Struthio camelus: one gene and its partners. The protein of the gene in region 2 interacts with the protein of the main gene of each other region in a pairwise test. Links are inferred from orthologs where the notes say so. Each region holds a gene or a part of one and is shown on either strand. Other genes may lie near its edges. The genes, in order: TXNDC9, MYOG, CLUAP1 and EIF4E2.

Region 1 (7,682 bases), on a different chromosome or scaffold from region 2:
CCTCTGCGGGCGGGCTGCACTGGGACAGTCCTCGGGGCCGAGACAGGACGCCGGGGGCCCGGCCGGCGCCAGCGGAGGGGAGCAGAGCAGGCCGCGCCGGGGTGTGTGTGTGGAGCGGAGGGGGGAATGCGCAGGCGCCCTGCGCCTCCATGGGGCCGTTACAAACAACGGTGGCCCACCCACCCGGGGCGCGGCCGCCCAGCTCCTGACAAGCTCGCCCCGCCGGCCACAGCGCAGCCTTCCCTCCCCTCTCCTCCGGCCGCCGTGCCGGACCCACCGCCCCCTTCCCGCAGCCCGGCACGAAGGGTCGATGCCCACAAACGCAACCATCGCCGCCGCCGCCACTCACCCCGACCGCTCCGCGCCCGCTGGTGCCGCCCGGCTGCGTGCTCGGCTCGCACACCGGCTCCGCCCCGCCCGAGTCTCGCGAGAGCCAGGAAGGGGGACGCGAGGACAGAGGGCGGACTGTGGCGTGCACGCGCACGCAGAGCTTCCCGACGCTGTCATTGGCTGTGCGACGACGTGCCCCGACCGCCGCCTGCGCCCCGTGCGGGTGCGCATGCGCAGCGCCTTGGGGCGGCCTCTCGCCGCTCTCTACAGAGAAGCGGGGTCGTGTATCCGCCCCTCGGGAGGGACACGCTGGGGCAGAACTTAGCCAGGGGCAGCTTCCCCCCCCCCCCACCAAACCGAAGCTCCTCCTCATAGGGGCTACCTCTCCCGGTACGCACTGCGACTGCCCTCCCTCGGCGGAGTACACCTCCCGGCATGCATTTCCCACCCGTGTCTCGTCCCCCTGGCAACAGCGCCCATCCCGGCATGCACAGCGGCTCTCTCCGCTTTCCCCCTCCCCTTCCCCACCGAGAGGAGACGCGTCTCGGGGTACAGCGCGGCTCCCTTGGCAGGCGGAAGCAGTGATTCTCTAGGCTGCTGGCCTCCAGGCCGCACGCTGCTCTGGGCAGGGCTTTGCCGTGAAGGGGCGTGTCTCCTGGGGCGGGGCGGCCTCGCGCCGGGGCGGTTCGTTGTCTCGCGCCGCGGGGGGGGGAGGGCGGTGTAATGGCGGCGGTGTGCGGGGCCTATTGAAGGGGGAGGCGGGAGGCCGCGTTTCTTCGGGGTTTCATCTCGGGGTGACGGTGACTTTGCTCAGGGCTGGGCGTGTGGGGCGAAGGCGGAGCCGCGGAGGGCGGCGGCGGGGCTGGGCCCCTCGAGCGGCGCTGTGATTACCGGTAAGGGCCGGGCTGGCGACGGGAGGGCTCCGCCAGAGCACTGAGGCGATCTCGGTTAGAAGACGGCTGTGTTTGACTAGCCGGGGCATGTCATGCCTTTGTTCTTCTTGCCAGTACAGCAGACGACTTACCACAGCTAAATAATGAGCTATTAAAATGTGTAAAAAAAAAAAAAGTGTTTTGCTTCCTTGTTTCCTGGATCTCTGGATTCGTCAGAACTGGAGCATGTTGATGATGAAAGATAAGGCGGAAAGATAAACTTCTGGTCTTATCTGTAGTCCACTGTGGCTAAGGGTGAGAGATGGCGATGAGCTGTAGCTGTATAAAGGGAGAAGGAAGTAGGAAGCAAGGATTTTAGGGAGTAAGGCAAGGTAAAGGTCCTGAGACTGAAAGATGAAGAGTGAGGCTTGTTCGGGCCAAAAAAGGAAAAACTACTACCATTACTGGATAATGACAATAACAAAAATGTGCCACTCTCAGAGTGTATTAGATGGCTCCATGTCTGTGATTACTGCAACAGATTGGTGGTCTTTCTGCTCCATCTTGCTTTGCTATTGAGGAGTTAGGCCAGGAAGAGAGGGGGTTGCAACTGGGAGCCCCTGTATCATAATATACACATTGGTTTTAATATTTGTTTGAATTTACTGATCTTCTAATGCACAAGTGGTACTCCAGACTCTCTTGTAAGAGAGTGCAGCACCATTTTAGTTCTAGTGCTATCAAGTGTTTTGGCAGGAAGGAGGAAGAGCTTTGTACAACGAGAACGAAGGCAGGAAACATCGTTCTGCTGGTGTGGTCTCGCCGCCATATCTCCCCGGGCTGGAACCTCTGTCCCTGGCACTGCTGTTGACTTGGTTTCTCTGAAGCTGAGCTTGACAGTCAGTTTGCCTTTGTGCTGAGCTGTGAAACCTAACTGCGCCTACTCTGACCCTCATTTTGGCTGGAGGCCAGTCACCACAGTATCAGATGGTGGACTTTAGTTGTTTACAGTTCAGCTCTGGTGCGGGGAAGTGGCAGGGATCAGGGACGGGCAGAGCTCTGCAGAAGGCTGGGAAAGAACAGCTTGCGTTTAGAGAGAAAGGGTAATAATTATACCAGGCAGTGTCCATGAACATGCCTCACACTAGAATTATCATCCAGTAAGTGGCCCCCATATGCTGTCCCAGCACACCCTAAAAGCTTTCCACTTAATCTCCCTGCTTTTTCGGTCTGACCTAGCTGTCCTGTTTACCCCCAGATAAAAGCTTTCCGACCATGTTCCTTTTATCTGGGCCGTTCAGTCGGTTTTCACGGCCAGCCAGGACAGTCCTGTGAGGCCTTGTGGGCCTCAGGGCAGCCCTCTGGGGAGACAGCAGGGCGTCGGGGAAATTGCAAAGCCGGGGCATTACTCAAGTCATTCTCCGGGGCCGTCGGAAGACCAAAATGGTTGAAAACGAAACCAGTTTCGAGAAGCCAGTGCCTGCGAAGCCCCCAAAACAGGCGCAAGCAGCCGGCAGCCCGCAGGGCGTGAGGCGACCGCCCGGGCCTCTCTTCCTGCCGGCACCGGCCCTTGACAACACCCTCTTGGCGCCTCCGGGGCACCCCCCGGCCCGGACTCCTTACCGGCAGCCGCCTCTCGGGGCCCGAGTGCGGCACCTCCGCCCCGGGCCGGGCCGGGTTAGGTACCGGTACCGGTACCGGTACCCGCACCCGCCGGCCCGCGCGGGGCCGCCGGCTCCCACCTCCGGCCGGCGGGGGCGCTGGCGCGCGGAGCGAGGGGGAGGGAGGGAGGGCGGCGCGGTGCCGGCGGCCGCTCGTCGCGTGCCGGCGCGCGGCAGGCCGGGAGGGCGCGCGGGGCGGGGGCAGCCAGGGCGCCTGCGCGCCGCGCGGCGTGGGGCGGGCTGAGGGAGGCGGCTCGGCATATGCCCGGCGCTGCGCGCGGGTGCGGGCGGCCGGCCGGCGCGCGCGGGGGCCGGTGACGAGCGTGGGGAGCCGCCGCCGCCGCCATGGGCAAGAAGCAGAAGAACAAGAGCGAGGACAGGTGTGGCGGGGCCCTTTCCCCCCTCCCCTCCCCCTTCTTCTTTTTTCCTCCTCCCGGGCCGGTGACAGCGGCGCGGGGCCGGCGCTGCGGCGCTGAGTCAGGCCCCGCCGGGGCTCGCGGCCTCGCTCGAGGCGGCGCCGCGCCGGCCGTTGGCGCTGCCGGGCGCGGCGGTGCCCCTCGCCCAGGCCCTAGCGCCGGCCAGCGGCCCGAGCCGCGCGTGAGGGCTCGCCGGGCAGAGTAGGCCCGGGCGGCCGGGGCCGGGGGGGAGGGGACCGGCGGCCGTTGGGGCCGCCGCTGGCGTCGCTGGGGCGGCCGAGGGGAAGGAGGGTGGCTGACGCCGGCGTGGCCCCTGAGTAGTGGTGACTGCCGGCTCGTCGGCTGCTGCGCTGCCTTTGAAGAGGTGCCTCCCTGGGTGTTAGTCGCTTTCCGAGGATTTTATGCGGGAGCATGTGGTGGCGAACGCGGTTTTCGAGCGCAGGTTCCAGACGCTAGCTTAAAAACAGCTCCTTGATTCAGTTTTAGCCCCCCAGATCTGTTTGTTTGTTTATTTGTTTGTTTTGTTTTTTTAATGGGACCAAATACTGTAGATTACACTGTATCTTTGCGCTTTCCGTGTGTTTAATAAGTGCAGGTGGTAGTAATATTTCGCAATCACAGAAATATCTTAAGAGGATCTCCTCTACAGCTGTGAGCATGTTGCCTTGGAGATGGTCCTGTCAGTTCACTTTTTATTTTTTTTCCCAAGATTTTTATAAAGGCAGTCATATTTACCATATGGATCACTGCTGACTGAATCATGTTGCGTATGTACAAATTAGTAGGTTAGTGCACATTGTTACTTGTCATTATAATACTACAAATATGTACTCAATTTACAAAGTGTTTTTAGTTCTGAATACTGACAGGGAGTTAAATGAGAAACTCTTAAAATATGTATAGATTAGAAACAGTTTGTATGTGTTTTTTTCTCTTCTTACCCCAGCTGCTCATTCTGTGTGTCCTTCTTAACTCAATAAGTGTGTTTTTTTTTTTTAAGTGCCCAAAGAAGCTTCTTTCACGAACTTGTGTTTTTTGTGGTTTCTGCCCCTCTCCTTTTTCTATTTGAAGTATGGCTGCCTGTTGTTAGTGTTTTTAAAAAAAACTGTATTTTTTATTTCTTCTCTCTAAGCATTTTTGACTGTCTAGATGTATATTGCATTAAAACATTAAGAGAAATGTTAGTTTAAGCTAAGGTTATCCTTCTCCAGGTTAGAATGTAAACTGTTCTACTTTTTTCTGGTCTATCTTTCTGGATAATGACTGTTTTGCTAGTGAAGATCTATCTGGTCTGACTCTTCTTCTCCCAGCTTTTGCTGTACCATATGTTACTTTGTAGTATATACTGTTATCAGCTTGTCTCACTAGCTGTACTGCACGGGCGTACCTTGGGAATGACTCTGGGTGAGGAGATGAGTCAGGTGTGATTTGAGAAAGAAGAGGAAGAGCTTGGATTTTTGCCCTATAAAGGAAGGGAGGCCTAGTGCTGCTCTTCACATCTGATAGAGAAGATGCCACTATTGTGCAGACACAGAAATGCTGCTGTTCGGGGCACTTCCCCTGCACACCAACTGCTATCATTGGAAACTTCTGGGGTGTTAGTGCCTACCAGATTTCTTGTTTTCATCCTGTATTTCTCTGTGCATCTGTAGATTACTGGGCAGGAGCCTCTCTTGGCTATTATACTCTCTTATTTGTGGGCAAAGAGGAAGCACACCTTATAAGTAAAGCCAAACGTTTATTGTTAGGATAATTGAAATCTTAAGGATGTAATCGTTATTAGTCCGAATGTAGTTGATACAGATCAAGAAAGAGTAACAATGCAATTTAAATTGCATTATACACACTTTTTAGTTCTGTTCCTTTTCCTGGTGTTATACTCCTCCTTCCACTGCTCTCTGGGTTTGAAGGTTGATGGTTTCGTTCTGGTGGAGATGGCATGTTATGGCAAGTTGTCAGTGTCTGGAGTCCTTCATTGAGAGGAATATGATTGTTTGTGTTGATGAATTCTTCCTCCCTCTCGGCTCCACTTAGGATCACTTTTATATGTTTGCTTATGTACTTTTACACCTTTGTTCTTTGGTCTGCAGCTCTGCATTACATCCATATTTACTATACATGGTGCCTTTTACATGTTAAATACTATTTCTTTGTTCCGTTTGTTACCCCTAAAAGCAGTTTTGTCCAGCTCCAGGTCTGCATTTCTTTAACTGACCGTTGGTGAGTTGTTTATAGCTGTAGGGTCACCAGTGCCAGCCTGCGCCCCAGCTCTTATCGTGGCATGCCTGTACTCCTCTGCTGCATCCTGTGTCTCCACTTCTCAAGGCCTCTGCTATCATACCAGGCCTGTATTTCTTTACGCTACATCATTCTATCAGAATTGTAAATATCTTATTCTACATAGAATAATTGCTTGTTACTGCTTTCTATATGAAACTAAGGTTGTACCATACCAGGATAAACAACAATAAAACAAATGAAGCATATACACCTGGTCAGTTACAGAAATTGCTGTTACAGCTAAATCAGGCAAAACAAAGTTGCAGGCAGGTCAAGGAGAGTTCAGATAAAGCAAACCTGACAAGCTTAGGTATTGAGGCCTTGTAAACTCAGTATGAAGCTTATGTCCTGTTACTGGTAATGGCAATACCATATTACAGGGCTACATGGTTATGTGGTAGTGGGAGGGATAATGTGGAATAAGAATTCACAGGTGTGTATTTGAGAAGGACGGGAAAGTTAGACTTGGCGTGTTTTACAAGAAGGAGTTTGGGAATGAGGAAGGACCTAGAAGCCCAGTGATATTTTGGAATATCTCGCTATCTGCAAAGGTGCCCTCCTCATTTTATGATGCAAGACTGGTCTACTAGTTCACCTTTTTTTGTCTTTATTTTTTGTCTGCCTCTTGCCTGTCCTCCACCCCCAGCTCCCCCTGCCTTTGAATGTTAGGCTCCCTCTAAGGAGAGGATGTATCACACAGTTGAACCTGTAGCTTTGAGTTGGCCTTCCACATTCCCCATCGGTCCCTATTCTGTTCCTAGCAGAGTGAGAAAGGAATGACGTTGTGGAATTAAATGCTTCCAATCATGCTTTGTCTCCTACAATTTCAATTTTTTTTTTTACTGTGCTGAGTTAATAATTTCCTCTTTCCTCCCTTTTCCCCAGCAGCTTTGTTTTAGCTGCAATCCCTTATATTCCTTTTGGCTGCTTCTCCCAAAACATGCAAAGCTCAAGGGCATAATTTACAGTACAGAAGCAGCATGTAGGAAGATGCAGGTGGTATGTTGCCCATGTTGTGAATATGGGTTTGAAAACTGAGGTGAAAGGAAGGAGGTCTTTCTGCTTTTCTCCTGGTGCATAGAGACAAGTCACAGAAGGTACAAGTCATCTTTACTCTGCTTCTCCCCCGGCCCACCCCTTTGCTTTGACTTCTGTTTTCTAGTTATTTCTGCTGAATGAAGTAGGGGTCGTTATGCTAAATATTGATAAATGTAAATACATAGGGAGAAGACCCTGAGGGAGATGACTGCTATAGTGATCAGGGAAAGAATGGGAATGTAGGACTGTTGCCTGTTATCAATATATATTACTAGATGAACAAATATACTTATCAACCTGTTTCTAATATACCAGTGCCCCTGCTGTTATGCTCCTATGAGACTTTATTGTTGACTCCTGTCACTTCTTGGTTGTGCATGCGTTCATAAAGAACGCATTTATCCAGAATGTCAGAATTACGGTCACAGTAGGAAAAACTGTGGGGTGCATTACAGAGGCCCTTTCAAAGGTGAAGGGTGTCCTGGATGGTAAGAGGCTGCTCTTACACCATATGGAAGTTGCCTTAATTGACAACTTGGAATTTTTATGGTTGTGTTGATTGTTCATTTTCAAATGGAACTTCATAGCAAACGTTTTCAATAAAATAGAAGACATCTGAATATCCAGGCTTTCCTAGAGGAAGAGTGGGTGTTCTGATGTGTAATCTAGTTCCTGCTGGGAGTGGTGCACTAATGCTTTGGTTCTTGGAGAGCTGTAACATCAGAAGGTACGCCAAGGTTCTCCCATGCTGTTTTTGTGGAAGTTTGATACAGTGTTTTTTAAATGTGTGGGAAGAAGGACTATTGTAAACTACTGGACTGTGCTTTGAATTCAAGCCTCAGACTGTTGCTGTATGCTTACAAGTAGATGTACTGTATGCTACAAATTACTTCCTGCCTAGGATCTGAATCTTTCAGATTGATGTTCTTAGCTTTTTATGGGTTCTCTTCCCTTCTCCCAGCTTTGAGTCTTCTTCCTCTTCTCCTCTTAGCTCTCTTTAGTTTCCAGTACTTAAGCTTTAGGTGCATTCCTGTGCTCTTTGATATTGTGAGCTGTTGCCTAGGCATACCACTCTGATCATTCAT
Region 2 (7,641 bases):
CCTGGGACAACCTGAAGAGGCTCCTACCTGTGGGGTTGCTGCCGAACTCCAGCTGGGTGCTCCACTCGGGGCTGCAGGAGGAGCTGCCAGACCCGCACTCACCAGCCTCCTGCAAGGGTCCAAGATACTCACTGCGGGCATCGCTGCCTCTACCCCCACCCCGGGGCCCACCCATTGCTCTTAGACTTGGCACAGATCCATGAGGAGATGGACTCATCTCTCACCACCCTCCCCGCAAAGCCGCTGGCAGGAGTGGACAAAGCATTCGGGATCCCTGAAACCGATTGCAGCCTGCCACTGGCACTGGGGGGAGCCGGGACAGGCTGTCCCTGCACGAGCGTGGTCCCCGCATGGTGAGCCCATGCCCCTGCCTGCTTCCTCCGAGCACCCCCAGCACCACGGTCCAGCACAACCTGCAGGGATTAACCTTGGGCTCAAGGCTGCTGGCAGCGGTTTGCTCTTAGAAAGGGAGAAAAGGGACATCTTTTTGCTTGGTTAACAACCAAAAAGGCTGAGAAACTTTTTGGGGAGTTCTGGGAACTGTGGTTAACGAGTGAAAAATGCTGCCGTTGGCTCACTACAGGTGAAAAAGTGTCTTTTCATGCAATGACCAGGAGAAAGGGATGGAGATGGACGCCTGTCCTTGGGCAAAACAGCCTTTTACTGAAAAAAATCACCTAATCAGGTTAACAGAGCTGTCATACGGGCTGGAACTCCTCTGACGATCACAAGGGGGATTTCTGGGGAGCAGATATTTTGATTTTGGTATTTTGATTTGTGGGTTTTGGGTCAAATGGATGTTTCACTGGGAAGTGACAACCTAAAAAATGAGACAGTTACTCAGTAAAGTGCTGGATTAACTTTTTTTGTCTCCATCTCTCAGTCTCAGAGTGGATGTTTATTGGCCTGCGTTGAGCCTGAAATGCAATTTTGCATTGCAGCAACCCCAAAGCACTGCCATTTGTAGCAGGGATACAAAATCACTGCCGCATCAACTCTGGGAGGAAAATGGAGGTAGATATCGCACCTAGATAGAGCTAGTCCACAGTAACCCACTGCTGGGGAGCTAGCTGGCAAACCTCCAAATTTTGGGTCGCTAGCGTATCTTGACTGCCGACGTGGAGAGAGAAAAACGACCGCAGCTTGTCTCTGCAAGGCTTTTGCACTGAATTGAAATTTCACACCGCACGTGAACATTAGGCTAGGTGGCTGGTTGGGCTTTCCGTTTTGTAGGGAAACAAAGTGAAATAAAGTCCATCTGCAGCAGGATGAGAAAATGATTTTCACTTCGGTTTGTTTCTCACTAAAATAGGAGATTCATGCAGATATGATTTTTTTGTTTTGGCCAAAAATATTGGATTTCACACTCATTACGTGAATTATCTGTTTCTCCCTAGGTCACAGCTGGAGAAGGAGACCGCAAGGAGGAGCAGTTACGCAGGAACTGCTCAGCATGGGTCGTATTTTAGGCAAGCACTTTGCATCAATACGTTTGCAGGGACAGCAGAAAAATCCAAGCGAATCAAATCAACATGAATATATATAGCTTGGGTGTATACTGGGAAGTCCTAAGAATTTTTTATAGTGATGCCTAAGACTGTTTTCAGGCCTTTACGCAGCCCCTAAATGTACTGTACTGGGCTACCCTGATATCCGATTATTTTTCCCTTAAATCCCTTGGTACTGGATCAGATGAATCTCTGGGAATCCCAATTTTCCATGCCTCTTATAAAGTCCATTTGTCACCCTTAGGGCATTAGGGAAAAGCATGCCCACATATTCCCCCCCCCAGGAATCAGAGGGTAGATTAAAAATGCCCCCCCTCCCCCAAATCTGGTTAAACCACCAAAATCTCGTGATTTTAAGGGCCCTGGCTTACAGTATGTGTCTGCTTGGGGCCAACAGCCCCGAGGGCAAGACACGGCCTCTGCAAGCATCCCCATCCGGCTCTCAAACTGGCATTTTCGGTCCAAGAAATGTGTTCGGCAGGTGGCTCCGCTCCAGCCCCCCCACCCTTTCACCCTGCCCCCTGCTCGGGACACGCCACAATGGCCATTGAGGGTATTTTATTTTATTTTATTTTATTTATACCTTTATTAGCTCTAGTGAGTGAGGGCACATGTGCCACGCTCTGTACAGTATCCAGCACTGGACACGCAGCCTACTCTACATACATATATAAATATGTATGTGTGTTTATAGGGAAAGAGAGCTATAGATCTGCTTTGACTGGGGATACAAGAGCATGGCTTGGGCTGGATCATTGCTGCCTCGTGCAGGGCATATCTGCCAGCTTGTGGTCACATTGTCTACCTCAGCTCTGCTGTCCCGAGGGCTGGAGGGTCCAGGTCCCGCTCCCACCAGAGGCAGGGCTGGGTCTGCTGCCTCTGGGTCCCTGTCCCCATGCTCTGGCACCGGCTGCGGTGCCTCTTTCTGGGACCACTACCCAGGCCGGTGGTGGCCTTAGCCCAAGGCTGGGGACCCCAGGGTCACGCACCCCAGGGTGAGCAGAGGTACTTACCCCTGGCTGGGTGGCCGTGCCGCGGAAGCGCAGGTCCCTCTGCTCCCGCTCCTGCTGGTTGAGGGTGCTGAGCAGGGTCTGGAGACGCTCGATGTACTGGATGGCGCTGCGCAGGATCTCCACCTTGGGCAGCCGCTGGTTGGGGTTGAGCAAAGTGCTCCGTTTCAGGGCCTCAAAGGCCTCGTTCACCTTTTTTAACCTGCGCTTCTCCCGCAGGGTGGCCGCCCGGCGCCGATCTATGGAGACCGTCTTCCGCTTGCAGATCTTGCAGGCCCAGGGCAGGCATTGCCCCGGGCAGTGCTCAGGCAGGGCTGAGTCCTTCTCCTCCATGCCCACCCTGCCCTCAGCACACAGGGCCACGTCGGCCCGCTCCGGGAAAGCCGCTGGCTCATAGCCCTGCAAGCGGGAGCCCAGGAAGTTTTCCCCGTCGTAAAACCTTTGGTCTGGGAAAAAGTAGGGGTTGGTCTCGAAGAGCTCCATGGACGGGCAGGCAGCGGGGAGACGTGTGCACGGCTTGGGGATGGCTGCTCCGTCTCCTCACACCAACTGGTTGGTGCCATTTAAACCCCGGCGCTGGCATTAAATCACGGAGATAAATATAGAAAACCTAAAGGAAACCTGAGCCTGCCCTAAGCTGCTGCCTCACATCAAAACTTGTCCATCTGATTTCATGTGCTCTCCCTGCAGGGATTACGCTGCCCGGGCCAGGCTGCGGCCGTGCCGGGGAGGAGGGGGAGCCCGGGGAAGCTGGCACGTCGGGAAAAGCAACTCGGCCGCCCTGTGAACAAGGGCTTCGTTTGAGCCCTTTGGGTGCCGCCGTGGATGGCGGGTGGTCGTGGGGCTGCCAGCTCCGTCCCGCATTCCTGCATCATCTGGTCCTTTCAGTTACCCAGGGCTGGCACAGCTCGGCTAGGGGAGAGCAGCACCCGGGTGGCTCCAGTCCACCCTGGGGCAGATGGCCCCACATCAGCCTCAGCCTCATGGGATCCTGCTGGATCCCTGCTTCCGGGGTCCCAGCCCCTTCCCCGAGCAGCCCAGCCACGAGCACTGCGAGCAAGGCAGCACCCATCCCCGTGCCCATCCGCCTCACTGCACCCCAAAGTGTCGCTCCACTCCGTGCCGCCCTCCTGCCCCAGGCTTCGACAAGGCTGGGCTTTTCCCTCTGTCCCTGGGAGGAAGAGGCACTGCAGGCAGGTGAGAGCAGCCGGGAGGGCTCAGTGGTGAGTTTGGGGCAAATCCTTCCTCTGCCATAGTCTTCCCAAAGGTCCCTGGCTGAGTCATAGCCCAGACATAGAGCAGCGTTTTAGGCATGAAATTCCTTTTCTTCCAGGGCTCTTAGAGGGCACCAAAACCAAAGAACACCATCTCCTGCTTGTCCCAGGACCCTCTATCTGGCCAAGCTTGGAAGATGAACCAGGCCTGGTCCTGGTCGCCTCCCATCCTGACACTGTCCTTCCTCCACCATCACTAATCTAAGCTAGCCTCCAGTGCTAGGTGCTGGACGTGTGTATAGCAAAAGCCCCTGCCCAGATGCCAAGGCAATCCTGCCATACCTGTCTTTCCTGGCAGAGGCACATCATTCCCACCTTGCCAATGGGAAAAACGAAGGCACAACAACGGGCCCTGTAAGACCAAGAGCAGAGTTGGGATTTTAACCTATTCCCTGTCCTCCTTGCTGACTCCAGCCTCTGGACTCCTCTGGACTGTGTCTCTCCAGCTTTGTCTTTAATTCAGAGGAGTTTTTTCCACTGGGAACAGAAGAAACCATCTCCTATCTCCTCCTATTCCTGCTCCAGGCCAAATTCCAGCTGAGGGATTGGTCAGTGGAAAGAATGTCAGCAAAGAGAAGGGCAAAACGTGATGAGATTTTCCTTCCCCAAATCCCCTTCCCCGGGGAGGCCATGCCACATTGCATTCCCCCGGCCCGCCTGCTTGCACCCTCAGTGACTTTGGGTTGATTACTGGCCCTTTTGAACCTGTTCTCAATAAAGGGAGGGCTCTGACCAAGGACTGGCCATTTGCCAGCGCCAACCACTGCCAGGCAGCATCTTGTCAGCTCCTAAAAATGGGTTGCCTAGGGAGCCTGTGCTGGGGGTCAACCACCACCCAAGCCAAGTGCAATCTTTCCTACCTCCACCAAGGGCTTTCCCCTCGCGCCCAGTCCGCTCAAAGCCCCCCAAGTCTGGCTAGTCCAGCATGGACAGGTGAACGGGAATGCCCACTACAAACCCTCCTACCTGCTTGGTCTCATGGCAGTGATTTCTTTGGGCCTAAGAACCTTAAAATGTGACCTACACCCACTTTCAGCTCTCTTGAGGTCTCAGCAACAGGGATTTGCCATCCAATGGAGAGCATTGGGGTCCTGTCGGGGTTTGGACTGAAGGACCGAGCTCTGCACACCATGGGTCTGGGGGACATCATATCCACAAGGATTTCTTAGCCTATGCTTTTACAGCTATAAATTACTGGAACTGCAGGAACTGCAGCATCGAGTTCAGCCTGGCCTCAGTGTAAACCTTGCAGTCGCTGGCATCAAGTAAAATCCCTTAAATATACAAGAAGGAAAGAAACCAAAGCTCCAGCCTGGCCCATGCATTAGGTAAAAGCAGTAAAACAGTGATGTCCCTGAAAGTTTGCGAAGATGTTGGCTGGGCTGCAGTGACGTTACACTACAATAGTCAGGGACAACTGCGGGCACAAAGCTGTGACAAGAGGATAACCTGTACCCAAGAGCTTTACATAACTAGCTGAGAAGAAATTTACCTTGCTCATGTGGACCTTTATCGTTGGGAATTGCTGATGGATGCAATCTTGAGCTCCTCCAGCTCAACCCTGGCTCCCTGGTGAAGGGAAGCCCGTAGGACCACTCAGGCTTTGCTATATAGATGGATTTTTTTTTTAAATTGAGATGGTGTGTTTGGAGGATAAAGAAACCAGCAGTGACATAACAGGCTTAGAGGTCTGTGGGACATGTGGCAGGCCCATACAACAGACCCGTCAAGCATTTAGCACTTCATAAAATGGGGGCAGCATCACTTGAGCAGGTGCTGGCACTTGCAGTGGGCTTTCCCCAGCAAGGCAGGGAGCGGGGCAAGAAGTGGGCTGAGTGTGGCCCCGATGCACCAGCCGTATCTCCTTTTAGCTCCTGGTGGAAGGTTCCTCATGGCTGAGCAAGCGGCGGCACCAGGAGGCAACCTGCAAGCATCAGTCCCCAGAGATGGGGTGGAAAGACCACCAGTAAGAGACCAGTGAGTCCCAGCAGGGGGGCCTGGGAAGTAGGATCCCGCACTGGGAGAGGAGCCCAGAGGGCTGGAGTCAGCCCAGCTCCTTTCGGGTGTCTGATGCAGGTCGTTCCCAGCAATACAGGGATCCAGGATAACACTGTGCTCACCCCACCACACAGCTGCTCCTCCATCTGAGGTGCCGTTGAGACCCTCTTTGCTGAGGTGAGACCTATTCCTGGACGCAGTGCAAGGATATAGCCAGGTCTGGGGTTCCTGAGCCCAGTGAGCACATGCATCCACACCACTGGGCAAGTGGGTGTCTTCCCTTCTCCAAGGCACCGAGGGACCCCCAGGGTCCAGGCTCTCTGGGCACTCCCTTGCTAGCCAACAGCAGCCTGGGCACCCAGGATATCACTGCTGCTGGGCCACAGGATGGCCAGAGCAGGGAGGCTTTTCCCGGGGCTCATTGCTGCCCACGCTTGCTGCAGGCTGCGCCCTGGGTAATTCGGAGCTGGCCAGGGGATTAGGGCTCTGCTGTCTGCTGTCAGGTTAGCCCGTGATGGATGGTCGCGGCTGGGACGCACACAAAGGAGACGCTGTGAGCGCGCCAGTGAGAACGTGTTGCGATCTGTCACGGGGTGACCTTCCCCCGGTAAAAGGGGGGAGGACTCAAGGGCCTTGTGACAGTGTCCCGCACGTTTGGAGCCGGCGGGGAAAAGCAGCCACGAGGCCAAAGCTGAGCCCCAGGCTAAAAATACCAGTTCATTGAGAAAAACCCCAACGAGGAAGGTTTGTCCTTGCTCCTTGGGGTCTGCTCTCCCTGTCCTGGCTCTCGTGCCACAGCTGGGGCCATGGCTCTCCACAGGTCTGAGGACAAGGATGCAGGGCAGCCCCTTGAGGCTTGCTTTTCTGCATTTCAGCAGAGCCCACAAGCACATCCCCATCCAGCGCGTGGTGCTGCATGCGCAGGCGCTGTGCGGGAGGGCTAATGGCAGCTGGTGTGTTTAGTGCCAGTCAGCTCCTTCCACTGGAAAGGGCAGAAAAAGCAGTAAGATTTTGGGATTGGAAGCAAACCGGGTCATGGAGATAGCCTGGATACCCCGAAGGCCATGGGCAACGCTCCCAGGAAGAAAGACAGTGGGGATGGGTTTTGAGCAGGAGACATGATCCAGCAAAGAGACCATCCCGCTGAATAGCAGGGAGGATTTCTGAGCAGGAAAGGAGTCTCCTGAAAAAGCCATTTCCTCTGGCCAACATGCAAGGAAAGTTTCCCCAGCGCTGGGACCAACCGGGGACCAACCACTCATCGCCCCGCGCACCCCACTGCCCTATGTCCCTTCTTGCTTTCCAGGCTTGCCGCCATCCCTTCCTGCCGCAGTGACAAGTCATAACATATTTGGGAGCAGCTGCAGGCAGCTCAGGGATGCTTGGCCCTCTCCCCGCTCCCCCGCGGCCCAGGCGAGGAATGCAGAGCAGACCTCTCCTTGGACACCCGGGATTTCCGACGTGCCTGCTCACCGCAGATTTGGGATGGCGACAGCTGCTCGGCCGCGATGGGGCCACAGCAGCCGGCGACCCGCGCTCAGAGCCTGCCCTGCGGCGAGCTGGGAGCCACAGGCATCGCGTGGCCAGGTCCCAACCTGCCGGGGATTCAGGACTGTTTTTAGGTCTGCTTGTGGGTAGTGATGGGGGACTGTCTCCTGCTCTCCATCACTGGCTTGGAGGTGAACAGTGGTGGCAGGAGCAGCCAGCAGCCCCTTCCTGACCCATATCTGCCAGTTTTCCCAGTTTGGGTTCTCCACTGGGCTGGGAGAGCAATCAGAGAGGGTTTGTGCAGTGCCGTGCACAAGCCCCATGAGGGCTGAGCTTGCCCAGGCTAAAAGACGTGCTTATTCC
Region 3 (7,470 bases), on a different chromosome or scaffold from region 2:
TGTCACCATCCTTTTATTTATTTTTAAACAGATCTACCATTCTTCTCCTAGGCTGTTTTTTGGGGAGGGCTTTGCTATTACACCTTTCTAGCCAAATTCTTACTTCCTACATTATAGTACCTTGCAGATTACCCTCTTCACAAGATTTTTCTCCCAGTAACAGAGAATAATGTTTAATGGAAAGTTGCTATTTCATGCTGTTCCCATGGGGCAGACTTTTACTTTGAGTCAGGTTGACCTTGGCCGTGCTTGGGATACACATCTGGGCTTATGGACACAGTAGGTAGATGAGGGCCTCTGGCCAGTTATGAAGACAGGACTCATTCCAGCTTATACACAGCCTGAAGGAGTAGCAGTGGTGCCCCTGCAAGATAATTGGAATGGAGATTTTGATGCCTTAAAATCCAGAATGAAACTGTGCTCAGCAGCCAGGTGAGCCATGCCTGCAGGACAGTTTGGAGAGAGGGAGCGTGAGGGCACGGAGTGACAGTGCTGCAGTGGCCACAGACACCTTCCCAGGGGACAGGCTGAGACATAGGAGGGTGAAAAAAACTATGTCTCATGCTGAGACACTCACCTGTAACCCTGCTTCTGCTATGTGCCTAAAGCAATGGCTCCAGTATATGCATGGTGCAAAGTACTAAACCGTTAGTCTTTCGCTGTCCCACCACCTGCTTTCCCATGTATTAGAAAAGCCAGCAAGATTTGATTTTGCCTCCTAAATATGCAGAATAAAAAAGTTTCATGCTTTCCCCACTTGTTTCTGGTACCGTCTTACCTGGTCATTCTTGCACTGCAAATTCAGTCCTTCATCCTAGGGATGGGGCGACTGTAGGTCTTGGCATTGCTAGGACATACTCTGTTGTTGAAAATCTGATCAAGTAAGAGCAAGTAATTTTTATTCTTACTTTCCTGATGTTTTTAAATCAGGCAGAGAAAAACCTTGAGATGATTAGGCATTCCTGAGATTTCTCAAGCACCGAATAACAGAACAAACTCATCTGTGCTGTCCCTGTTGGGAGAATAGGGTAAAAAAAGCCTCCAGCTTCATTTATGCCCCAAGAGACCCTAGCATGAAGTCACTGTACTCTTTAATTTACTTGTCTAAGTCACCTTTTAGACAACAGGGTCTTCTTGATGCTTGAGAATACTTCTGCTGGGTCATTTCCCAAGCTACGTTAGATAAATGCTGTAGGAGAACATCAGCTTTACAGACAGAGCCTTTATAGCTTGAGAGATTCGGAAGAGAGTCTGCCAGAAAAATTCACTCCCCAGAGAGGGGCCGATGCCAGAAAAAGCATGGTATGAAAGTGTAAAGTTTCCATTTGGTTGCTATATGCAAGAGTCCTATAGATGCTTCACGCTCGGTCTTTTGCATCCACTTCCTAATGTCTAACTTGCAAGTAAAAGCCTTCTGCTCCTCAACTCAGAGCCTCCCTCGTTACCCAGCCGGGACAGATCAGTTTTCACCTAAAGGCTGTTTTCTGTCTTTCGCTGCAACATTCACTGCCCCCGTCCACACCGTCAGAGGTTTGTTTGCCCCCGAGGGCTGGCTTGGCACACAGCCGGCTTGCAGACTCCTTGGTGTTAACATTGCAGTTGCAAGAGCAGCCCTCTTCCTTCCCACCTTCCTTGCCACTTTATTTAACATTACCCTCACTGCAGAAGCGAGAGAGGAAATTAACTGCTACTTCCAGCTGCAACAATACGGTGCAGACCCAGAGAAGTGGAAGTGGCTTAGGGTCCCTGGTGGAAGCCTGAAGTGCCATGTGGGCTGAGGAACCCAGGGGAATCTGCAGCCTTTGTGTTCGGTGAAGGAAAACATGCAGGAATGTCACGTTTCCTGTAATTACATTGCACAGCAGCTCCCTGCCTGCTAATGCGCTGGCATTAAAGAGAGCGCTGAGAGCGGAGTGCAATGCCCAGGATAACAAGCAGCCCATGTATCAAGTGGAAGGGGTAATACATCAACAGCCACTGCTTGATCACTCAGCAGATAAGCAAACAAAGCTACTGAGGGTGAAAAAGCATCTCCAAGCAAGTAGATTTCCAGATCTATCTCAGACTTCACCTGACAGGCCAGGAGAAGAGACTAAGCACTCATTTGTATGCAGTGAAAAGCAAGATTGCTTTTCCCCTCTCTGCTAGCTCTCCTCTAAGCTAAGCACCACCTGGCCTGCCTGAAGCCAGCCAGAAGTGCTTATCTACCCCCATCCTCCTGGTTCTGGGGTGTCCAGCTTAAGATGACACAGCACAACTGGATTTATAGAGGTATGGGGACCCCTCGCGTCTCTGGGAGCTGGAAGTTCAGATCACCTTCCCTAGGAGCGTTGTTTGCTCTTGAAAACTTTTGGGGTGTTTTCCTGCAGAGTCAGCATTTAGGCTCTCGACATGCAAGGGGGAAGGGTACGGAGAGCAACCAGCCAACACGAGCACAGCCTTAATCGAACCTCGTCACAGACAGAGAGTCAAAGTAAGCTTGGAATAACCCTATCACCAATTATTGATTTGGCCTTTGAGATGGGGCTCACCAAGCAAAACACAGTGCTTTCCCAGCTGAGCAATACATGCCCCATAAAGAACAAGGGTGAAGTAAGCCCTACTGGGCAAGGCCTTCTTCTCTGAGCTCTGGTCTTCCTGGCACAGCTACATTAGTGAAACTAACTGCAATCATAACTGAGGAATCACCATCAGAACTAAGGACACAAGTAACTGGAAGTGAGCTCTTCCTGTATTATCCTATAGATTCATTACCTGTGGAGTTGCAGCAAGGCTTTTGCTGCCGAGGTGCCGTCTTTGCCCTGTTGGCACCCTGAGCATGCCTTTCCCTCCTCCTTCGCTCGTGGGCTGCTCCCATCGCTGCTGCCAGGGGCCGGGTTTCTCGCAGTAGAGCCCAAAGGGAAAAGCAGAAGTAATATTAGCATTTAAACAGTGAGCAGCTGCTTCAGCTTACTGCCTTTTACACTGTCAGGAGAAGAAACAGCTTGCTTCAAATCATTTCAGATTTGTCAAATTGCATTGAAAGTCCTGAAATGCCTCTCTGCCTGCGCAGCCGAGCGGAGCAGCTGAGCCCTGCGAGGGCAAGTTCCCGTCGTCGGGGCATCGCTTACCCGTGCTGCAAGCGCAGGAGCCCTTTCCTCAAGCTTTTGATTGTCGCTGCCTTCTGGGCGCCGTCAAAAGATGCTTTCAGGCCAAAAAGACAGAGGGAGCTTGGTGATGGGCAGCAGGAGAAGGGCTGGGTGAGTGCCGAGGGGACGCACGGGCAGCGCTGTGCTGAGCGTGCACCAGCGTCACAAGCGGGTCGCCATGCGGCCGAAAGCTCCAGGCCCTGCTCGCACCTTGGTCCGAGCCGATCCAATCCCTGGGACACTGCCCCAAAACCCTCAGCCTGGTGGGGAGGACACTTCTTTAGGAAGGAAGCTGGGTTTGTCTTCTGTACCCCAATCTGCTTATACATCAAGCAGTCATCAGCAATTGTACAGCTTATACATCAAGCAGTTAAACCAAAGCGCCTCCACAACTCTTGTCTCATGGGAGAAGTCAGGGTCTTGGATAAATAGACCTCAGCTCTGAGCCAGTCTGGCAGTTTTATGTCCCCGTAGCAGCAGAAACCTGTGATCTCAGCAGCAGAATTAAGTGTTGCTCTGTCAAGAGGTCAGGGCAGCTGGTTTAGGTTCAATACAACTGAAAATAGGTTTGTGACAAGAAAACATTTTAAGTAAAAATAATGAAATAGAGGAGAGACTCGGAGCAGAGGACAGGACGTGGCAGGAGCTGCAAGGAGGCGTTGGGGAGGATCGTTGGGGTGCGGCACGGGCAGCATTAGCGTGCAGCATGGGCGCAGCGGGGCGAAGGGCCCCTAACAGACCCTTGCGGAGAGACCGGACAGACCAGCACAGCTCTTAGGCTGGCAGAAGGAAACCCGCGTTCACCCGTCTTGTTCAGGTCCGCACAATGCTGGCACGCTCAGGACCACCGAGAAGCACCATCACCTCACCCCGGTTGGGTGCTTTGCATTGCCAGGGCACAGAGGTAAAGCAGAGGCAGCTCCTGCTGAGCCACCTCGAGGTTATCACCTCCTGGCTGACAGGTTCCCCCAAGAGCTTCCTGTTCTCCTTTGCCGGCTCCTGAAGATGCTCCTCTCCTCCTTGTGCAGGTCGCAGCGCCCTGAAGTCCCATATCTCGTAGCTGGATCAAGCCCCCATACTGTCCTTCAGAGGCTGAAAGCTCAAGGCGTAGGGGGCTCCCTTTGGGTCTTCCCCATGGATTAGCTCTCTGCTCAGAAATTCAGGAGAGACAGAACAGGTGAAAAAAAGCAGAAATGGGAACTAGCTTTTCAGTGTTTTGTGATCCAAATAATGCCAGCACCTTCACACAGGCAGGTAACCATGGCTGAGGAGAGGCTTTGGACTGCTGAGTCCTCCTGCAGGATCCTGCCTCTCAGCTTACAGCAAAGCCAGTGGGATTACAGTGCCCAGCATCCCTCGCCCCTCGAGGAGCGCAGCTAGGCCCAAAGCACAGGAACACTATTGCGAGAAGAGACGGACGATAGCCGGACCTCATCTGGAAATAAACCCAGCTCCGTCCCCTATATCCTTTCTGGTAGCTACCTTTTTCTATTGCAAAAATACATTCAACTGTGAAATTGAGCTTAGAGGAAGCTATTCCTCGTAGATAAATTCAGCAACATTTTTAGGAGCTGTCTTTGCTCTGGCTGTGTCATATGCCTCTGTCCGAGTTGTACGATGGATGTAAGGAGACCTTATAACCTTCCTGCTGTTGAAGCAGAAGCTATTGCACTGAAGATATTATGGGATTTGGGGAATTATTATGCCCCTTGGCTAGGTAACGAGGATCTAAGGCTCCCTGGGCAAGTGATAGATTGCTTCCTCTGCAGGCTGGGAGCCCTCATAGGCTTTTAAGCTGTTAGAAGATCTCTGGTCACATCAAAAAATTTGGGCTGAGAATGTCTGTGCCTCTTTATGAGAGGAGGCAATACGTACATCCGGAGATCGCTCTCTACTGAAGCTCCAGGAAACACACCAACACAACCAGCTCAGGTTTCATTAGCTAAAACAGAAGCAAATACTCCTCAAAACCTAGTCCAAAACTTATTGAATCACATGAAGATAGCCTCCTGGGTGGAAAAGCTGCAGAGCAGGAGCCTGGGATCATTCCTACTTACCCCTCATCAGCAGAGAGGTTTGCTAATGTCCCATCACTGCATGTTGGCACTCCGCTGGAGCGTGGAAATCTGAGTCAACGCACAGCGTCTGGTGCTAGTGAGGGCCAGGAGAAAGGAGCCCAGGCCAGCTCACAGGACCCAGGCTGCATCTATGAGGCTGAGAGCTAAAGATATTCTGTGTCCTCCTACATGGAAGCAAAGCTCCTGGAAGATACATGATACTGAGACAAAAAAGCGCATTGAGTCCATACCGCTGCACCTGGAGATTTTCCCTACAACAGGAGAAATCAGAGTGAACAGAAAAGGAGAAAACCAGGGAACTATGGAGCATCAACTTTTTATACTAATTAATTGGCCTTTCTATGATCAGAGGCCGAGTCGTGCAAAAGCAGCTCTGACTAATACGTCAGAATCAAAGGGGCCATTTGCAGCCCAGCCCACAGCATCTATTAATAGCTATAGAGACATACACTCCAAAACAGCATTTTTAAGGATTTTGTACATTCCCCAAAAAATCCAGTGCCAAAGAGAGCCCAATGAACAATAGCACGTGCCAAGTTGCCCAGATTCTCTGTGTTCAAGCCTCAAGGGACAATGGGGTGCAGGAGGCCATGCTTAAGCAGGGTAGTCATCTCCCCACAAACGGCAAGAGAAAGAGAAGCACGGTGAACAGCAGCCTCCGTTAACATCGTAACAGAGACCAGCGTCAAACCTTCCCAGCCTACCAGCTAATTGGGAGCTACTGTGTTCATATATGCCACAAACTGGTAAGAAGGGAAGAAGCCAGCGAGTCTGACTTCGCTTTCCCCAGAGCAAGGAAAAGGGGTGCGTTTTCACAGCAAGCACCATTAAACTAAACAGCCCAGTGTCCTGCAAAATGGTAACGGGCACACTGGACCCTTGCAAACCTGTGGGCTCAGGACAATTCCCTCACAGGGATGTTGGAGAAGATGCATCTTGACACGCAGAGCACAGGAGCAGTAGCTAGGCTTTGGGGACTGTCACTCCTGCCCCGTGACACAACGCAGGGCACGTGCAGGCTCAGCACCTCCCTTTCTCCAACTAAAACATATTGCTTATCACAAGGAGGGTTGTCATCCTTGTTATCGTCTCCTTAAAGCCCTTTGGATCTGCCGGTGAGAGGTGCTAAGGAGAGGTAAAGCGCTCCTCTAACTCAGCCGGTCTGAGGGACTCCAGTGTCTCACTAGAGCATTAGTGAGTCATGCAGATTACAATCCTGGGGAAAAACACATTTTCTTCCATCTTATTATACAACAAATTGTCAAGAGACCCAACTCGATACAGCTGAGAGGCTAGGAAGGACTCAGAATACACTCTAAAACAAGGCAGCCTCTTCAGTCACTATTTATTTGTCTCTGTTTTGCAAAGAGAGATGTCAAAGTCATATAAAACTTCAACACCCTCCGAAGTGGTTGAGCCATGAGAGCGCAGGGAAGCGAGGACGGGGCTTGCCGCGCTGCCGCGGCTTCAAGAGCCTGTGCCAGCTCCCCTTGGGGAACGCGATTACCTCTGAGCACGGCTGCTCCAGCGCAGCTTCTTCTGCCAGCCGCTACAGGCTAAGAAAGCCCAGACAAACCACTTGGGGTATTAGTGCCGGTAGAATAAAAATAAACACAGCCCGGCTCGCACAGAGAGGCTGAGGGAGAGGCGTGTTTCAGGGACAAGCGCTCCCGGTTTTACAAGCACGTATCCCGTGCACGGCTTGCCCTAACGCAGCAGCCCATGCAGCCTGCCCACCTCTCGCTCCTCCGCTTCCGCAGCGAGGCTTCAGGAATGGCCCCAGGCCACACCACAGGGAGGGAGGAGACAGGCTGCAGGAGCCCACATGCCTTTCGAGCAGGATTGGTCCTCTTATTCCCTAGAGCAATAGCAAATATACATGTTAGCCAGCAGTGAATGAGACCTTTCAAGCTACTCAGCTTTCCTGCAAAGGATTTTCTGGAGAATAAGCTACCCCCTTGTTCCTCTTCCCCAATCTACCACCCATCCCTCCAGAGATCGCATAAATAGTCCCAGCAAAGTCAGTGGAACGAGCTGATGAAGATGCCCTTAAGAGATCACACCTGTGTTAGCCCAGCCCATTACCCAGCCTGAGCTTAACGGTAGATTAGCTGTCGTTTCACCTGGAGCGGGGTCAGGAGAGACAGAGGTTAAAGATAACGGTTCATTGCTAAGCCCAGGGTGGCTGCAGCAATATATATCTGGGCATACGCGCTGGCATTTTGAAGCAAGACCTGTTTTTCCTATCTGAGACAGTCAGGACT
Region 4 (7,618 bases), on a different chromosome or scaffold from region 2:
GACAGCTGTTTGCCTTCAAATAAACTTCACTGCAACACCAAACCACACCTCAATCACTTTCAGACAGCTAAAGGACACAAGACCATCAGCCACTTTTACGTATAGCAGACCAGACGCCTGTTCCAAATATACCGTTTGTGGTGGAGATACAGACAAAAAACAGGCTGTACAACTACACAGCATTCAAATTCCACACACAGAAAAAGCTGTTCCCTTCTTCTCTTTGCTTACCCGCCAAGTTCCGCTCCAGCTATCCAATTTAAGCTAAACAGGAGTTCTTTTCACTTGCTATTATTATTCCAGCTTCCACCATTACTGCAGGCACTGATGTCTATCTAGCACAGGGCAAAGGAGAACTGCTTTAGACATGTCACCTGCTGCAGGCAATTCAAAATCTCACCTGTAAAATCGTGGCACATCACTTTCTCTCCTCTGCCCAACACGAAGAGCAGAGCATGCACGTGCATATCCCTAACAAAGAGGAGTTAAGCCAGCCAAGACAACCACACCATGCCCAGGTGACAAGAACAACAGGAACATACTCACTGAGGCAAAGGTGCCAATCTGTTTGATGTTCTGTTCATAACTCTGCGAGCTTGTAGGCCTCCCAGGTGTTCGTCTGGAGTACCAAAAAGTGTAATTATACTGCAGGGGGTGCTCAGCTGGCCCTGGGACAACAGCCTGCAGAACAGAAAAGCTTGCTTATTCCTTATTCACTCCTCTAGAAGGGGAATGGGAAAAGTAACATCCAGGGCATCAGTGGTCTACATATTCCCGCCCCTACCGAGTGTAAAACAAACAACTCATCCTCATTTTCATAGAAAAATACCATCTCTGTTAACTATCTGGCATGGACCATTAGGTTAACAGCAGCTGACTCTATTTCAAAAGAATAATAGAAATTTGCAGTACAGGGATGGCTAAGGAAGTAACAAAACTTATGCTTGAGGGAGTGTCACGCAAAGTAACCCTCATCATAATTAAAGACAGTATTACTAAGTTTTTGTTTTAGTCCTTGACTGTGAGTTTCTCAAAGGAAACAGATAGACCAACTAAAGGGGCAGTAGAAGAGCTTAATTTTTTTAATTAAGGAAAAAGAAAAAGCCATTCTCATTCCCTGAGAAGAGCAAAGCCCATTTACACTGAATCATGATCCAAAAGCAATTATAACTCCCTGGTGACAGCAGCTCCCCCAAGCAACCAACACCCTAAGACTCTGGAAGGATTAGTCTGTCTCAAAACTTGTTATGTCAGCTTTGGCAGAACCCACTGCTAACAGTAGGTAGCGATCACTTTCCAGTCTCCATCCACTTGCAATAAAAAGGTTTCTAAAGAGCATAAAATGGGTAGATGAGAAGTCCTTACCCTAGAGTCGCAAGTGCCAGGAGAAAAAAAAAAAAAAAAACCCAAAACACCAAAAACCCATCACCTTGCATCACTTGATATTGTTACAAGAGCAAGTAGGGTTTAAATCCCTACTCTCCACTAGCCTACAGCAAGTTTATAAGGATTGTATTACTTCAGAGAGTACAGTCTTCCTAAGCACAAGATAAAAAACAGGATGGGTATTTGCCTTCCTAACTAGGCTACTTTACCCTCATACAGATCCCGTCTTAAGGATTATTTCAACAATGGCAAAAAAGCATAGCTTGGAAAGCCAACTGCAAGTCACTACTCAGTCAGTCAGTCAGTCAGTCATTCCCCCTTCCTCTCCCCACTTCCCCATTCAAAAGCCGGCCAGAGCATTAGCTGCGTTTGTGAAAGGAGCATTCACCCCTCAGATCATATACCCCGAATGCTATGTCAAGTTAAACAAATGCTAACACAGCCCCCCATCTTCATTACAGCAGTAACAGTATACAAAGTGACCATAGCACACTAAGACGTGTTCTTCTTATCCCCGCACTGAGAACACTCTAGCGTTCCACCATCACGCCCTAGTGACAGAACACAGGTGCCAGCCCCTTACCTTCCTCTTGGTACTACTCTGTGGTTTCTCTCGATCATTCTTTTCCTTCTCACTGTCTTTCTGTGTGTTGTTCTCCTCGTTCTGGTCATGATCTCCACTATCATCATCCTTCAAACTGGTTAATGAAATAAAGAATGAATGACAGTCCTGTACGTCACAATCGAGAAGCCTCATCAGCCCCTGCTTCTAAGCTCCTATGTCACACAAGAGCCACCCGCGCTTGGAAAGCTACACTTGACAACCTACACAGTGAAAACTACGGATGGGATTTGTCATGCCCAGAGCCCATCACAAGCACCTTAGGTACACACTTTTAAGCAGAAGCCTGCAACAAAATGCCTTTTTAGGACAAAGTCAAGCACTTCATAACGGACAGAGATCTGCTGCACAAAAACCTGACTGCTTGGGAGGCAAACAAGGCGACCACCCACCGCAGTTTTGCTGACTCTCAGCCACCCAGCTCTCCCCGCCCCTAAGCCTAGCGGAGACTGTCCCCCGGGCGGGCAGACACCACGCCGGCACCCTGCGCCCCACAGGTCTCGCCGCCCGCCCCCTTCCCTGCGAAGGGCCGGAAAAGAGGAGAGAGAAGTGGGGCCAGAAGGCGGACCCCCTCGTCGCGAGCAAGGCCCTATGCCGCCAGACCCACCCACCCCCCCCGAGCCCGCTCTCCTCAGGACCGGGCGGGAGCCCCGGGGCCGGGCCGGGCCGTCCTGAGGGGGCAGAACGGGGCTGTGCGAAGCCCGGTGACTCATCGCGTCCCGCCCCAACGGCGCCGGGGCAGCGCCGCCGCTGGGGGGGGGGGGAAGCCCCGGGGCGGGCTGGGGGGCAGGGGAGACCGCACAGCCCCCCGGGCCGGCGGTAGCGGCGGTCGGGGACGGCCCCGCCGCCGACTCACGCGTCGAATTTGTTGTTCATCGTCGCTCGCTGCCGCCACCTCCGTCCACCTCAGCGACTTCCGCTCTGCCGAGTCCTCCCTCCAAAACCTTCCTCCACTTCCGACGGCAGGGCGGCTCCGACACAGAGTCGCGCTTTCCCCCGGCGACATAAGCGCAGAGCACAACGGAAGGAACTAAGGGAGGGGCAAAAGGAAGGGGCTTCCCCCCCCCCCCCTTCCACCATCTTGAGTGCTGACTCTCTCGCGACTCGGGAGGGGCGCCATCTTGAATGCGTGCAGAACCGCCGCCATCTTGAGCGCGGCGAGCGCGGGCAGAGCCGCCATGCTGGGAGTGGCACGAGTCGGGCGTGCCGCCAAAGGCGGGTGGCGCCCTGCCCTCGGCGAGGCCGCCCAGTGCGGAGAGACACAGGCCGAGGGGTTCAGGTAGCTTCCCCGTTTTATTCATACTGTTCAGTTGTCTCTGGTGGATAAAGGGTGACCATATGTCACCTAAAACTCCCGGCTAGCTCCTGTGGTGACAGGGCGGCCCTCAGCCAGACAGCCTGCGCCCATCCCTTCTTCTTCCCCTCAGCGTCTAGCGAGGGATGGCGCAGGTCTTGTACGGGTGCGGCTGGAGGATGAACCCCACGATGGGCCGGTCATCGGCTTCCTTCACTCCCTCCGGCAGCCGGAAGGTGAAGGCCCGCAGCAGGCTGCTGAAGCTGATGAAGAGGTTCATCCTGGCCAGCCCTTCCCCCAAACACACGCGGTGGCCTGCGGAGCGAGGAGAATGTGTCATGCGTGGGCTTCACCCCCGCGTAGGCAAGAGCACATCTCTGCTGTGAAGCCCAGAAGAACAGGAGAGATTTGCAGTCCCTACGTGTAGCCACTTACTGCGGTATGAAAGCAGAGAAGTGCTCTAGATCTGTTAACACTCATCTTGGGGCACCCTGTGAACAGAGCTGCTGAGATCTACAGCCCCTTCCAACGTCTACGGTCGCTGTATTTCTCTAGTGTCTCTCACCTGAGACATGGATAGCGTCCGAGATGGGAAGAGGAGAGAAAAAATATACCAGTAAAACCCTGCAATGCCTGATGTGTTAGGAGAGGTTAATGGACAGTTCATAGAGGGCAGGGAGATAATCCCTCCTTCAGCTTCCCCTCACACTACATGAGAAGAGAAGACATTGCCCCATGAGAAGAGAATCTTCTCATAGCTTTTTACAAACCTCTGCCCAATAATTTCTGCTATCCAGCAGAATTAATGATCAGATTTCTGACCAAAGTACTTTCTGTTTCTCCACCAACTTACGACATGGATAGAGTCAGAGAAAATCCTTAACCTGTAGATCAGGAATGTGCGTTCTAAAAATTGTTCATATGTAGATGCTGTTCATAAATAAACCTGATATGCAGCAGCTTCATCTGCTGGCCTCTTGGTGTCCACTGATATCAATATTGGTAGAGATTTCCAGTATCTTCCAGGAGCCAGTTCTTAATTAGTAAACAGACTTCTATCCCCTGCTCTCTGAGGGATCTTTAATTTGTCATTTTTTTCCCACGGGACAATCTACCTCATTTCCACAATCGCAGTTCATTTTGTTGAGAATTTCAGACACTAGGTAGTCTTAGTTTTTTTTCCTCAAGAAGGTGAAGCTGCTACCGGTCTCTGAAATCAGCACCTCTGTCTTTTGCTGCATAGACCTTATTATGGGAATGAACAAAAATACTCGTGGCAGATCGAATGTTAGGAAGGTTTTGGCCTGTGAAACAATCACTATAGGAAAGCTGTGAGCAATACTGAGGATTGCTCTCACCTGCAGAAAAGAGCATGAAGGCTTCTCTGCTCACAAAGTTTCCATCCTTGTCCAGGAAATGACCAGGGTTAAACTGTCGAGGAGTCACCCATTGCTCTTTGTCATACAGGACAGAAAATATGTTGGGGAAAATTAAGGTGCCCTACAGAAAGAGAAAATGAACATAAAAGGATCTTTTTCACAAAGTTAGGCACTAATGTCATAAATTGCCAAAGTGCCAATTGCTCTCTTGAAATTGCCCAATGCATGTGCCATCTAATTATTATGGGATGAGAAACACGGTCATGCTAAGCTCTCTCCTGCAGAATAGCTTATTTAGAAATGATTAGGTATTTTCTAACATTGATTCTAGAGCATCAGAGCACAGTATTTTACAAGAAAATTGTGCTTGCAATAATCAGAAACTTTGGAAAAAAATGCTGAATTGAAGGCTTCACAGTCCCAAGACCTCTGACTTTTCATCTTGCTTTTTCAAAGGCATCTTCCCTGAGAGCCACACAGGTCTTGTCCATTGGGAAGACCACCTGTATAAGGTTGGATATGGATCTAAAGCATTCTGCTTATACAATAAGTTGTGTCTATGAACACTATTATTCAAGATTTTCTTTGTTTTTTCTACTTGGCTTTGACTTGCATCAGTTTTAAAGAAGAACAAGATCATTATACTGATATAATTATACTGATCTAACTCCTGAAATCTGGTATAGAAAAACCATTATAAGGAGCATCTTTGCAAAAGGATAGTGAAGCTGAGTAGGAGTTTATTTCTACTGTAGGATGTAGATAATGTCCTGCCTCCTATTCACAATGAAGAGTTTTGCACAAGTTGTTCAAACTCAGCTTTGCCTGGGGCAAAATATAAGCACAACATATGGTGTTAAAAAGGTAAAAAGAATCGATTGCCTTTCTTTGCTTTATCTAAGGATCATACCAAAAAATATTGTGGCTTTAACATACCTTAGTGATAGGGAAGCCTTGTAGAATGGTATCCTGGGTGCACTTGCGCATTACCCCTATGGCACTTATGCTGCTGTAACGCATAATCTCATGCAGAACTGCATTTGTGTACGGCAAGATCACTCGGTCCTTATATTCAATTGCACGAGATGGACCAATGACAGCATCTAATTCTTCTTGGACTCGTTCTGCAGAAGAAAAAGGCTAGTAGTGAGCATTCAGGAAGGCAGTTGATACTTAGGCTCTATGCTGAGACTCAAACAGCCAAAGACATCTTAAACTGCAAAATTTGGGCAGGGGAGACAACTGAATTTTGCTTATTACTCTGCAGTGCGCAAGGACAGTCACAGATGTAAATGCAGGTGCATGCATTTCTCACCTTGTACTTCTGGGTACATCATCATGTAGAGGAGAGCCCAGCATAACGTGATAGTGGTGGTGTCTGAACCCGCTATGAAGAGGTCTGTGATCACTTGCACCATGTTGGTCTCTTTAAACGTAGATGTGGGGTCATCCTTTGTCTTCAGATGTGAGACAATGAATGCAATGTAAAGCAGTTTTAATAGCATAGCACATTTCCAGCAACAGAGCTTTTTGCCTCAGAGGTTCCACAGTGAATTGATGAAGCTGGAAAACTAGCAGCCATATAGATCTGTTAAAAAAAATCTTCCTGAGGACAGCAGTGTACAATACACTTTTTTTCCAGTCGAGAGTAGAGAAACATTACTGTTTCTGTGGTGACTACCAAGGAACATCCTTAGTACTTTGCGAAAATACTTTGCTTTTGAGGGTGAGTTAAAAGAAACATATCCCAACAAATAGACTCTGAGAAGGAAGAAGAGGAGGAGGTAGACATGCAGCTGGAAGTATCTTGGCTACAAGTATTCTAAATATGCTGCAGCTGCACAAAAGACAGTTAGTTATTTGTTACCTTTAACATCTGAGCTAGGTATGCATCAATGAAGTCCCGTGGCTCTCCAGGCACCCAGCTCTCCTGGTGGTTCCTGATCTCATCCTTAATAACTGTACGTAGATCCTGCAGGTGTTTTAATGCCACCAGTGATCTCATTAACACAGGGCTTAAGTGCTTCAACAGTGATGGGAAAGTATCGTAGAGCTGCACATGAAAATACAGGTACAGGGAACACCGTGACATCTTAGCTACTCTTTAAAGCCTAAACGTTCACAGCTGAACCGTGGCTGACCATGGCTATGATCCAGGTATATTATTTGTCAAACTATAGGAAATAAATGACCACTTAATTTTATTTATTATCTATTTTGGAGGAAGAAAGTGTGCAAAGGGTGATCATTAGCATACAGTTACTTTCCAGATTACCTGCTTTCCACTAATACCTTTTAGAGTTGATGGATTTAAATCTGCTACAGTACAGCTTTCCTTATGTTTTCTAAGTGAAGCCTCTCCCTAAATGCCTGTTCCCTCTTACACCTTAAGTCAGCACTTTGCTGTAGTTCTCAAAGCCACAACAATGTTAACTTTCTCTATTTTTTTGAACGGTTTGGAAGGATCCCAATCTAACATAGGAAAAGTAGGCTATTAAAGAACCCTTCGAGGAAAAAGCTAAGAGGAAAAACCTGAGTGTGGCCCCAAGGCAGGCTTGATGCTGAATAATCTTAATATAAAGTCAGATCAATCTGTCGAAAGAGAATTAGTGTGGGAGATTCAATGGGTCTGTGGACAGAGATAGCCATGAATGCTTGTGGAGGAACCATTACTGAGAAAGAATGGAACTGGAGTGCTGTTTTTAGCGGAGTTCAGTATTTCACAGAACCACAGAATCACAGAATGGCTGAGGTTGGAAGGGACCTCTGGAGATCATCTAGTCCAACCCCCTTGCTCAAGCAGGGTCACCTAGAGCATATTTCCCAGGATCGCGTCCAGGTGGGTTTTGAATATCTCCAGGGAAGGAGACTCCACAACCTCTCTGGGCAACCTGTTCCAGTGCTCAGTCACCCTCACAGGAAAGAAGTTTGTCCTCA

What was found.
Region 1: the proteins of MYOG (region 2) and TXNDC9 interact in binary tests that used the Homo sapiens proteins (3 or more experiments, as listed by UniProt). The two-hybrid records come from large-scale screens. The link is inferred for Struthio camelus from reciprocal best matches to the Homo sapiens genes MYOG and TXNDC9.
Region 3: the proteins of MYOG (region 2) and CLUAP1 interact in binary tests that used the Homo sapiens proteins (3 or more experiments, as listed by UniProt). The two-hybrid records come from large-scale screens. The link is inferred for Struthio camelus from reciprocal best matches to the Homo sapiens genes MYOG and CLUAP1.
Region 4: the proteins of MYOG (region 2) and EIF4E2 interact in binary tests that used the Homo sapiens proteins (3 or more experiments, as listed by UniProt). The two-hybrid records come from large-scale screens. The link is inferred for Struthio camelus from reciprocal best matches to the Homo sapiens genes MYOG and EIF4E2.

What each region holds. Positions count from the first base shown.
Region 1 is NC_090942.1:151,319,170-151,326,851, forward strand, and holds the start of TXNDC9 (thioredoxin domain-containing protein 9), read right to left. Parts: upstream 3,036-7,682; 5' UTR 2,826-3,035; intron 1,542-2,825; 5' UTR 1,222-1,541; intron 993-1,221; exon of another isoform or gene 859-992; intron 836-858; exon of another isoform or gene 350-835; intron 170-349; exon of another isoform or gene 1-169. Other genes in the region: EIF5B (eukaryotic translation initiation factor 5B), read left to right, coding at 3,209-3,243. UniProt on the Homo sapiens protein: Significantly diminishes the chaperonin TCP1 complex ATPase activity, thus negatively impacts protein folding, including that of actin or tubulin.
Region 2 is NC_090965.1:3,753,764-3,761,404, forward strand, and holds the start of MYOG (myogenin), read right to left. Parts: upstream 3,053-7,641; 5' UTR 3,002-3,052; coding exon 2,522-3,001; intron 110-2,521; coding exon 28-109; intron 1-27. UniProt on the Homo sapiens protein: Acts as a transcriptional activator that promotes transcription of muscle-specific target genes and plays a role in muscle differentiation, cell cycle exit and muscle atrophy.
Region 3 is NC_090956.1:18,074,492-18,081,961, reverse strand, and holds the start of CLUAP1 (clusterin-associated protein 1), read right to left. Parts: upstream 3,013-7,470; 5' UTR 2,858-3,012; coding exon 2,755-2,857; intron 1-2,754. UniProt on the Homo sapiens protein: Required for cilia biogenesis. Appears to function within the multiple intraflagellar transport complex B (IFT-B). Key regulator of hedgehog signaling.
Region 4 is NC_090950.1:22,233,945-22,241,562, forward strand, and holds the start of EIF4E2 (eukaryotic translation initiation factor 4E type 2), read right to left. Parts: upstream 3,026-7,618; 5' UTR 2,885-3,025; coding exon 2,865-2,884; intron 2,085-2,864; coding exon 1,970-2,084; intron 682-1,969; coding exon 547-681; intron 1-546. Other genes in the region: cytochrome P450 2J5, read right to left, coding at 3,439-3,617, 4,661-4,802, 5,618-5,805, 5,997-6,138, 6,549-6,734. UniProt on the Homo sapiens protein: Recognizes and binds the 7-methylguanosine-containing mRNA cap during an early step in the initiation. Acts as a repressor of translation initiation.